3 linked regions of the Schizosaccharomyces pombe genome follow. Each later gene encodes a partner of the first gene's protein in a complex. Each region holds a gene or a part of one and is shown on either strand. Other genes may lie near its edges.

Region 1 (3,071 bases):
CATCAAGAAAATGAACATTAATCAACAGCCAAAAAAGGAATTTATTGTCAATGAAATACTCGTGATGAAGTCACATCATCACAAAAACATTGTCAATTTTATTGACACTTTCTTCTATAAATCAGAGTTGTGGATGGTAATGGAATACATGCGCGGTGGCAGTCTTACTGAAGTGGTTACCAATAACACTCTTTCAGAAGGTCAGATAGCTGCAATATGTAAGGAAACGTTGGAAGGCTTACAGCATCTCCATGAAAATGGCATTGTTCACCGTGACATAAAATCAGACAATATCCTTCTCTCACTTCAAGGAGATATTAAACTTACCGATTTTGGGTTTTGTGCTCAGATCGACAGTAACATGACGAAACGAACGACGATGGTTGGTACTCCATATTGGATGGCTCCAGAAGTCGTTACTAGAAAGGAATATGGTTTCAAAGTTGATGTCTGGAGTCTTGGTATTATGGCTATAGAGATGGTAGAGGGAGAGCCCCCGTATTTAAACGAAAATCCTTTACGTGCTCTATATTTAATTGCTACTATTGGTACTCCAAAGATTAGTCGGCCAGAATTGTTAAGTTCTGTTTTCCATGATTTTCTTTCTAAATCTTTAACTGTTAATCCTAAGCAACGCCCTAGCTCCGGTGAGCTTTTAAGGCATCCGTTTCTTAAGCAAGCCGTTCCAGTTTCATCCCTTATCCCTTTGATAAAATCCATACATCATTCTGGTAAATAGGCTAACTTGTCAAAAAAGTTTTTGAGTAAACATCTGCTGTTAGAAGTTTCGGAATATCCTCCAACGTTTGCTTAAAAACTGTTTCTTCTCACATTGTTTATTTATCGTTAATATGCTTTTGCAGTTCGTTAGAATATATGTACCTGAGTTTATTTTTTTGCCTCCTCCACTAAAATCCATATCCGCAGGTTGGGCAGATTCAAACAGAGTACATTTTAACTACTTTTTTGCTTTACTTTAATTCCTTTTTCTAGTGCATACTTTACTTATCTGTTCCTTTTTTTTTGTTTTTTTCTTACTGCCAAGAATGATCTCAGTGACACTTGGATAATTTTTATAATAAATGAGACAATGCTTCTTTCTAAAAGTCTCAACTTTTTAATATTCGCAATGCATTATAAAAAAACTAAAAGGAAGACTAACTTATCAAAGTATTCAAAATGTAAGTACATGATTCTGAGATTGATCTTGAATCAGTCAAAATAGGTTTGAATCTTTTAAAGCGATGTTTCAATTTCAATTATGTGGAATCTCAAAGTGAAACGCCTGCTGGAATATTTCACAAAATTTTTGATCTACTAAAATTAGTACAAATACGTAGAAAACTTCAAATAATTAAATGGACTATGATTGTAGCGTAGTTCATGAGCTTAAGAAAATTGTCAACATTAAACTGCGAGACTTAATAAAGAGAGAGCGCACTTAGCATTTAAATGTCAAGCCAAAGCAATAGTGAATTTGAGGAGTCTCGTTATACATGGGTTATTACTACTCAACAGCAGACTATAGATTTAGGCAGCAGCCTACTTCTTAAGCATTGTCTCGAAACCAAAGTAACTGGTCTTTAAGTTTCCTTTTGACGACTTCCAATTATTTCAAACTCTTTTCTCGGAGATCGTAAATCTATCTGTGATTGGGTCTACTGGTTTTAGAAAACGGCTATATGCATCGTTTTATAACTATATAATTAAGATCAAGTTCTGCAGTAACTAAGTTCGCCTTACCTTGAGAAAACTTTTAAAATATTGTTCAGCATTACTGTACCCAACAATATTCTACTGTTCGCGCTTGGGTCGAAAATGGCTCTTTTAAGAGGAAATTCTTTGGCAATTAGCCAAAAAATGTTATCAGTTTTTCAAGCTAGCGCCCTTCCTCATATTTCTTTGAGGATATTTATTTCCCCCCCTTCAATAGCTAATATATGGAATTCCATTTTGCTTGCTGTTCCAAAGAAAAAAACTTCTTATACTAAGAAACGAAGTCGCTTACTGTCCGGAAAAGCATTAAAAGACAAAACAGTTAATCGTTGTCCTATTTGCGGGTCTTTTAAATTGGCACATCATTTATGTTCTCACTGTTTTAGAAATATTCGTCGAGAATTTAACGAATGAAGGGCATTAAGCATTTCTTCACTGATTTAGTGATGCTGCAAATCTTTATTTTAAGAAAAAAAATGGACTTAACATTAAATATAAGGTTGTTTCATGTAATAGTATTGCAGTTAGTGAATTGAATCTGCTCGCACTACTTAAATTTTTTCAGTATTACGATTAATGAACTACACCCTTTTTAAAAATACGCGTATAACAAAGAATTTTTTTACTTAATTTTATTTGTTGACTATGTACGGTTGAGTATAAATATCATATATTATGCAAAAGAATTTAGAGTGAAAAAATAACAAAAAAGCTGAATATATCTCTTAGCTTTCATCCTTTTTCAATACACGTTTATGTTGTAAGCGTGTAAATAATATTAAATGCATCGAAAACACAAAAGAGACTATAATCTCATGTAAAGTATACATAAACGATAACAATAAGAAAAAACCAAGCTAGTTTTTCGCCCTCCATAAACCGGAATCAATTCGTTCTCGGCGTTGAGGATCATAACGATTAGCGTTCATTGAATTACGAAAAGAGCGACGAGCCACTTGAATTGTCTTGCTACCTGGAAGACAAACAGTTACACGCAGTGGATGAGTAGGATGAATTCGAAGGGGTTGTTTGGAAGATGAGCGGTATATAGGAACCTTCTCCTCTAATGGTTTCATTTCCTCTAATTTTAATGATTTAGTAGGAAGAAACCGCTCCGGGTTCACTTTAGGCAAATGTAAATTCAAAATAACATCGCCCTTCGATCGCTGAATTCGAACAGAATTTGCATGACTAAGTATCAATCTCGATGATTTTAAAGAGCTCGTTTCCGAGGATACTACATAACTACTACTTCTGGTATCACGACCTTTGGAGTGGCTGTAAGAAGAGGATGAAGAAACAGGTTGACCGAGAGCATTAGAATTGCCAATGCGTGAAACTCCTCCATGTTCGTT
Region 2 (3,759 bases), 2.1 Mb from region 1:
TTGGTACGCAGTGCCTAATTAATGCTAACTTGTGCGTAAATTGATATTGACAGCACAATGATTCAATTTCATTCCTTAACAAGAGCCATCTCTTTTTGTTGGATGCTTAGAACGCGTGGATTTTTAGGCTATTCAAGTGTTTGGTTTTGATCTATTTATCTATTTTATATTTTAATTTCGCATTTTATTTTGCAATGTTCAAGTTGGAACTCAAACGTATATAATCACTATTGGTAAAAGGCTCTTCAAAATGCCAGACGAAAAGTTACCTCAATACAATGAAGTTTGGAATGATTTGGAGAAGGGTTGTTTACATTCTTGTCCTTCATATTCAGTCAATAATCATGTAAACAATCCAATTGTCAAACAAAACTCAACATTAACACAACCATCGTTACGAAAAAAAAATACAATGGCTGCACCTGCTAGATTAAGAAAGCGTTCGGAAAATGTGCGACTTACACAAGCTAGATATGCGATATTTCATATCTTCCTTCCTTTCATTCTTACTTTATTGCTTTATCATAATTTTTATAATTATTTCGATCAGGCATTGGCGGATCTTAATTCTGTGGTTAAATATGTTATTGAAACTATAGTGTTAATATTTACATACGTGATGACAGTGATTATTGTTTATTGTAAGTTTTTGAGATGATTTGAATTCATGGCTAACGATTTTCTAGTTTCATTTTCGTTAATTAAATTAGCGTTTGAAGAAGCTTATGTTTATGCACCATCTGTAGCTAAAGCGAATGAAGGTCTAGCTAAACATGTAGCTAAAACGATTGCAGGCCTAGTTAAATATGTAGCTAAAGCAATTCAAGGTTTGGCTCATATTATTTTATCCTTACTGTTGTTTATTCTCGGGCTCGAAGTAATAGAACAAGATGAAGAGACTGGCGACGTTGAAATGTCGTCTATGCGAGGCCAAGCAATTACCACAGAGCCAGCAAGTGACAACACAATGGCTGAGGGAACCGATTGCAACACTTCTAAAGATGTAGAATCGGGCAGCAGCTAAAAGTCATGGCTAGAAAAAAAAATCAAGGGGCTGCCAACCAGCTGCGAGTGTCTTTTTTATTTCATTACTAATTTTCTTACTTTCCTGCAGAAGCTCCTTTTTTCCCCTTTATTTCTATTTCTTGTATTATTACCTTATACGCATTGTCACTTAATCATTTCCGATGACAGTCATCACTCTTTTTCCATACATACATTTTTGTCTCTGTTATAGAGTAAACACGATGTGTTTCTGTGGTGCTAGGAAAAGTCATTTAACTAATGAATCTGGTTGTCAATTATAAATTAATCATCCTCTTTATTGTTTTACCAAATTGATATACAATCCTTAATTATGACTTTGTAAGATTTGCGAATTAAAAAATTGAACAAGTAAGGCATTACTCAAAAGACGCAAAGTAGTGATTTAACCTTAGTTTCTGTTTAATGCATAAAATGAGGATTCCATATATCATTTTCAAGTGTTCGGAGCTTTAAAATACAGTATATACAGGAAATATAAGTTCAAACTTGTTTCTAAAACAAATAAAAATGAAAAATCAATTTGGTGTAGAGCGAAAACCTATTTTAAATAATGCGATTTCCCAATTCCTGGTCAGTAGCAATTTCTTTACAAAAAGAATTAAAAAATTATTCAATTTGTATTATATGAAATCTTTCGTATTCAAAATCTACCAACATTCAGCCCAAGCGAAAAGTAATATTTTTTGCTATGTCCATAGGTAACAATATAATTTATTTCAGAGAACACCCATTGAAATTGCTGCTTATATTAACTGTGTAACATAATATATTAGGTCACAGAGAGATTCATTGCACTTTAAGTATCGTTAAGCAGATACCGAAATACGTGAGCGACACTTTAAATAGATATTAAACTGCGTAGCTGACCAGTATTCAAATTTTCCGTCACTCACCGTATCATTAAAACATTTACTGTTTTTGGCTGCTCAACGCGCAATGCTGCCTAACATCTGTGCTAGCAAACGATATGTGTTTATTGGGCACAACGTTTATACGCGGACGCGCTATTAACAAACTTCGCATCTCTTACAAGCATATATGTAAACAGCCAATCTGTACTCGTAAAAGGAAAGAATGCTTGAAAAGAACAAGTATCTCTATATATTTAGGCATATTCAAACGAATCAGGTACTTTTATCTCAAGGAAATGTTTTAAAAAAGACTGCGTTGTTTCAACTTCCCTACCCACTTCAAAAGCCAGTCGCTCCAAATGGTATGCGACCCGCTAAGCTCCGTAAAGACCATTGGGTTCCTTTACTAAAAGTCGAATTTCCTAATGAATCAATGTTTCAATCTGTTTTTATGCAACTGTTAAACTATCGAAAATATCGTTCTGTTCAACCACTGACTAGTGACCTTTTGAAATTGCCTATACCCGTTCGTAGAAGAAAAATAATGCGACAAGAGGTTCCTAACACGATTGCGGACTTGGCAGATATTTTAAATAAAGAAAAATTTCCCGAAAATTCCGTTCGTTTGCAACTGAGTGATAAATCCGATAGTGAATATGCAGATTGGCCCCCTAGTGTGCAGATTGATTCAGAGGAAATTAAACTCTCGCGAGGTTTCCGTGAAAAAACAACCGTAGACGAAGCTAGATGAAGCATAATATCATTACTTCTCTCACTTTCTTCCTTCAAAAACACCCCTCATCCATTTTTAGGCTTTCTTAAAGGGCATTATATGAAGTATAAGCTAACACATATTCATATTAGCTCAATCTTTTTTACTTAATGATAAAGTCCTTTTTACTAAAGACGGTTACGAATTCTTCCCAGTGTATCCAGTGTATTGCACTGGACAGCTTCCTTAGCTTATCATTGTACTTCAATGCGAGAGTATTGGCTAGATACTCAAGACAAGATAAATTTAATACAAATCGACACCAAATACTCGTATCTTTATTATTTTACCATTTTGAAGTTTTCGAGCTCCTATGAAATATATGCAAGATTAACTCATCACTTTATTGCCTCGTTTTTTTTTTGTTTAAAGTTTGGTCCAGAATAAAAAAAAAATATTAGCATCTAAAATAGAAATCATGGACCAAATATTTAAATAGTTATAACAATGCCAAAAGAAAAGACTTTATAAACCAAAGACATAAATACCATAAATCGTTAAAGAGCGGTAGTTATAGTTAAACTCTTAGAGTGGATTAATGCACAAGGAGGTAATCCTTCCATAAATATTAATAAGTCATCAACATATTCCTCGCTTTTTCGAAAGCTCTTATGAGTGTCGGCCAAAGGTGCTGGTAAAACAGTAAACAATACAGAAGTATTTTTAGTATGTTTCAGCACGATTTCATTCATAATTATGTATTGAGATCTCGAGGATAAATCGTTAAACGTCAACTTCTCTTTAGAATAGTCCCTTCCTATTTTTTTCTTTGGTGCTAGTCTATCAGATGAACTATCTTCTCGGACCACGTTGGGCATCAGAGATGACTCAATAGTACTGTCAGAATAAGTTCTTCTATTTTCTTGTTTTGGTGATAAAGAACGGTTTCCGAAAGAAGATTCAGTCTCAAACGACTTTACTGAATGCATATGTGGCCCAAGGCGGAAACTCAATGGCACACTTAAAGGTGGAGCACTCTTATCAAAGCTGGCAGATCTAAAGTTATAACCAGACATACGACGTGGAAAACGAATAGGTCCTAAGGAATCTACAGTATTTCCTCTTCTTTTCTTTTCTTCCTGCCACCAC
Region 3 (3,692 bases), 2.2 Mb from region 1:
AGGCACTGTACTGAAGGCCAGATACTTTTCCGTTATCAACCTCGGACGGAATCTTTTGCTGCAGGTTTTCCAACCAGTTGTTAGTGATGGTATAATTCCTTTTAAGTTTATTAATGTTGGTAATAATCTTTGTAGGAGTATCAGGTATGGAATCAAACGCAGATTCAGTAAGGTCAACGTTTTTAGAACCAACAAAAGTTTCGGAAGAGGAAGCAGACTTGTTTGATGCTTCATGAATTTTAATTACATGTCTTTTCTTGACACGTTCTCGGCGGCGGAATTGTGAGGTACCATGACTACGACCAAAAATGGATGGCCTAGCCGTGGTGTCATTTGAACCAAGATAGTCTGATGCGGAATATTGGGTTGCAGGGGAAGATACAGCAGAAATATCATCAGATTGAGTAGTCAATTGCTGTATAATCGTATCGGGAGGAGTTGACCGGTATATGGACATAGGTATTGAAGGAGAAGAAATAGGAAGTAGTGCTTTTCTGGATAAGGCTAAAGAAGCAATAGATCGAATGTTAGGATGCGTTTGGACATCCAATGGGCCCATTTTAATTGGGAGATGAGTGTCGACTTTCGTAGATTCATGATAGTCGGGAGGACCATCTAGCAAATCTGGGTTATAATTAGCCAGAGAAGTATGAGATTGGTTAGGAGAAGTGAAAGGAATTTTTTGAAAAGATAGATTAGAGTCGGACTTGGCAAACCAAATTCTTGACATTTTGTATATGATGGAAGGAAGTTCTTCCTGAAACAGGGAGACCAGTTGCACCTCGATTTCTCTTTGTAAAAAGCGAGCAATAGCAGGAATAGAATCAAAGGAGGAAGATACACGCACGGATTCTAAAGGATCGTTTCGAAATACCACAGTGATACCTTTCTGCTTTGAAAACACCAAAACAACTATTCCGTTAAGCTTTAAGTCGGAAAGTCGTAAAAACATAGGCACAGTAAGCGGTGCACGAGATGCTAACATTGTATTACGAGAACTAAAACTGGGAACATTACTTTTTTGCACCGATAATGGATTGGCACGAATTTTTGTTTGCAAGACCAAAGAAGCATCACCCGAATAATGGAGATTAAAGAGGCCCTGAAAGCGGTCTGGCGCTAAGTCGCCAACCTCTAAAATTTCCAGTTGAGGAGGTTGGGGACCCAAATCCAACTCTTTTACAGTGATGTGGTCTGCAATCATCGAGTGTTTAGTGCCTTTGTTTAAAGCAGCCGTAAGCAAAGTGGTTGCTCGCTCATAGAATGACTCAGAGAACTGATCACTCCATCCCTTTACACGAAACGACATTCTGTTGATTTTCCTAAGTTATCTACATCAACTATGAAAAATGTCAAATTTTTTTGTAAGGAACCGTCTAGTATAGACTAAGTAACTAACGCTTTAGATCAATTTCTTTACAAAATTTTTATTAAATTCGGATAGGGAAACGACAACTTCCATACAGTGGCGGACAGTAAATAAACATCGATAGGCTGGCTGATGCACTAGTGCGGCATACTGAACCTTGATATAGCCAAGATAAGGATAGGGTCGATCGTACTGTATATGAACGAAGGTGTATTAGAATGCATTAAATAAATTATTACAAAATGCACAGTAGTTTCTTATGCTATACTGGTGAAATATATTTTCTTGCTATTCTGTTCATTTAGGAGGGATAAATAAAGCTTCATGAAATGAAATTCCTTAGATATTCAAATCAGAAATTCAGCCATTATTTTAGAAATGATATTAGTGGTGTTGCTTACTGTATTAATTTGCTATGTTGACAAATATCTAGGCTGAAGAACTTCGAGTACAAGAACCGATACAACTTTGCTCTTTCAGAAAAGGATATCTCTGCATAAATGAATGATATTAAATCAAAATTGTTCGTTTTAAAAAACCTATATTATGTTTGTTCGCAGTCCATGTACTACGTTAAAAAATCACTGTAAACTTTCTAGATATCATTATTTAGAGAAGAGCAGAAAGGTAAAGTATTGCAAAGTGTGTAACCAGAAACTGTAGGTAGACAGTAAACTTGATTTTGTTGCTAAAATTTTTTATAAAACTAATTGCATACTAAGTTTAACATTCTAAATCAATTGGAACAAGTATTGAAGTTTAGAGCAATTTGGGATTTGCGAATTTCCACACACCCCTTTACGTCTCCATACCGACTTTTCATTATTTCTGCAAGGATTTGCTCACCCAACTTTTTTCAATATAGCATATTAAGAATTCTGGTTTTTAAAAGACGGTATCCCCTTTTTTACGGCCTTTTACTCACTTAATGATGATTGAAATCATTCCTAAAATTTCAATTCCCAAAAATGGACTAGGTTCATTTACCCGCCCAGTAAGATTTAATCAGCTTTCTTTTTTTTTAAAAAAAAAAAAAAAAAAAAGATTGGCCTTCATTAACTTCGTATTACTAATTTTCTTTTTAGTGCCGTCGAATTGAGTTTTCGTATTGTAATTGGGGTGGAAGCTCAAAAGGCATGAAAGAATTTTTATCCACAAAGCTTGAGTCTTTGGCCAAAGAATCTCAAGATGTGGAATTTCATGTTACAAACCGCCAAGGCAAGCATCCATTAATCCGAGCTTATTACAGTACGTCCAAGACTTTTCTCTTATTATGGTGATCCTCTTAGTTTTATAAATATGAACTCCTTAAAATAGTGTTTTTTACTAATGCTACGATAATAGATACTGGTCGAGAGAAGGTCATTTGTACAAGGAAAATGTCAGCGTCTTCAATATTTCAAAAAGCAATTCTATGCAGAGATAGTGATGGTTTGAAACCTCGCCTCATAAAATATCCTGTTGAGTCAACAAACCCATCCGTTCGTGGTATTTGGAGTCCATTTTCCGATCAAGCAAAGCCCCATGAAATTTATAAGAAAAAGTCCCCTTAGATTCCTCTACAAACTACTTATTATTTCATACAAAAAAAAGAAAATTCAATTTAATCATTTTCGTTATGTTATTATGTCTAACCTTTTTGTCCGAAATACAAAACCCTATCCAAATTTATCTTCCCATAAATACTCTAGTTAACCAGGTAGTAAGTGTACAGATGTATCAAATCCCTTCTTTTTCAATATCAGGAATATGCAACGTCCCTTTTAAGCTTTTTAAAGAAACAGAACAGCCATAGCAAACATTTTGATTCTTAATACCTTCAACGGAATCCGGATGTTCAACCGTAGTTTTTTGTAACCAAGTCTCAGCATCTTCTTGCATTGGTAGATTACAGATGGTACATATGGCTTCTGTAGAAGGCACATGCAATTTTGAGCTCATTTTGACAACGGTGCTAACCAGACTTGGGAATGTATCATTCAGCGATGAGAAATATGATTCTGTAACGCCATGAATAGTATTAGGACGTGCTTCAATTAAGCTATCGCAGAAAGCTAATCCCTTAATGTTCATATACGACTTGAGGTCTGAAGACAAAACTTCACGTAGGGGACGTAGTAGGAAAGTATCGCAATTTGGAAGCTTAGAGCAGACAGAAGTGTACCATGGTATCGCAAAACCTCGACCCTCTGCCACAAGTTCAAGAACTCTTGCAGCAATTGTAGTACCGCTATCACCAAAAACAATGGTATCACAATTTGCCTTCCGGGCATAGGATACTAAAAGCTTATCCCGAATTCGGTAAAGTAAATCTTGACGCGAG

The links.
Region 2: mrpl32 (region 1) and mhr1 share a complex: the UniProt entries of both Schizosaccharomyces pombe proteins name them as parts of the mitochondrial large ribosomal subunit.
Region 3: mrpl32 (region 1) and mrpl51 share a complex: the UniProt entries of both Schizosaccharomyces pombe proteins name them as parts of the mitochondrial large ribosomal subunit.

Annotation. Positions count from the first base shown.
Region 1 is NC_003423.3:3,906,320-3,909,390, forward strand, and holds mrpl32 (mitochondrial 54S ribosomal protein bL32m), read left to right. Parts: upstream 1-1,532; 5' UTR 1,533-1,818; coding exon 1,819-2,130; 3' UTR 2,131-2,412; downstream 2,413-3,071. Other genes in the region: PAK-like kinase Shk1, read left to right, coding at 1-739; SPOM_SPBC1604.12 (uncharacterized protein), read right to left, coding at 2,574-3,071. UniProt on the Schizosaccharomyces pombe protein: Component of the mitochondrial ribosome (mitoribosome), a dedicated translation machinery responsible for the synthesis of mitochondrial genome-encoded proteins, including at least some of the essential transmembrane subunits of the mitochondrial respiratory chain.
Region 2 is NC_003423.3:1,799,621-1,803,379, reverse strand, and holds mhr1 (mitochondrial 54S ribosomal protein mL67 ), read left to right. Parts: upstream 1-2,089; 5' UTR 2,090-2,121; coding exon 2,122-2,649; 3' UTR 2,650-3,167; downstream 3,168-3,759. Other genes in the region: SPOM_SPBC18H10.18C (uncharacterized protein), read left to right, coding at 251-641, 687-1,024; vacuolar membrane cation-chloride cotransporter Vhc1, read right to left, coding at 3,168-3,759. UniProt on the Schizosaccharomyces pombe protein: Component of the mitochondrial ribosome (mitoribosome), a dedicated translation machinery responsible for the synthesis of mitochondrial genome-encoded proteins, including at least some of the essential transmembrane subunits of the mitochondrial respiratory chain.
Region 3 is NC_003423.3:1,697,785-1,701,476, forward strand, and holds mrpl51 (mitochondrial 54S ribosomal protein mL43), read left to right. Parts: upstream 1-2,148; 5' UTR 2,149-2,297; coding exon 2,298-2,363; exon of another isoform or gene 2,364-2,454; coding exon 2,455-2,617; exon of another isoform or gene 2,618-2,713; coding exon 2,714-2,922; 3' UTR 2,923-3,088; downstream 3,089-3,692. Other genes in the region: protein Mdm34, read right to left, coding at 1-1,309; cytosolic thiouridylase subunit Ctu2, read right to left, coding at 3,089-3,692. UniProt on the Schizosaccharomyces pombe protein: Component of the mitochondrial ribosome (mitoribosome), a dedicated translation machinery responsible for the synthesis of mitochondrial genome-encoded proteins, including at least some of the essential transmembrane subunits of the mitochondrial respiratory chain.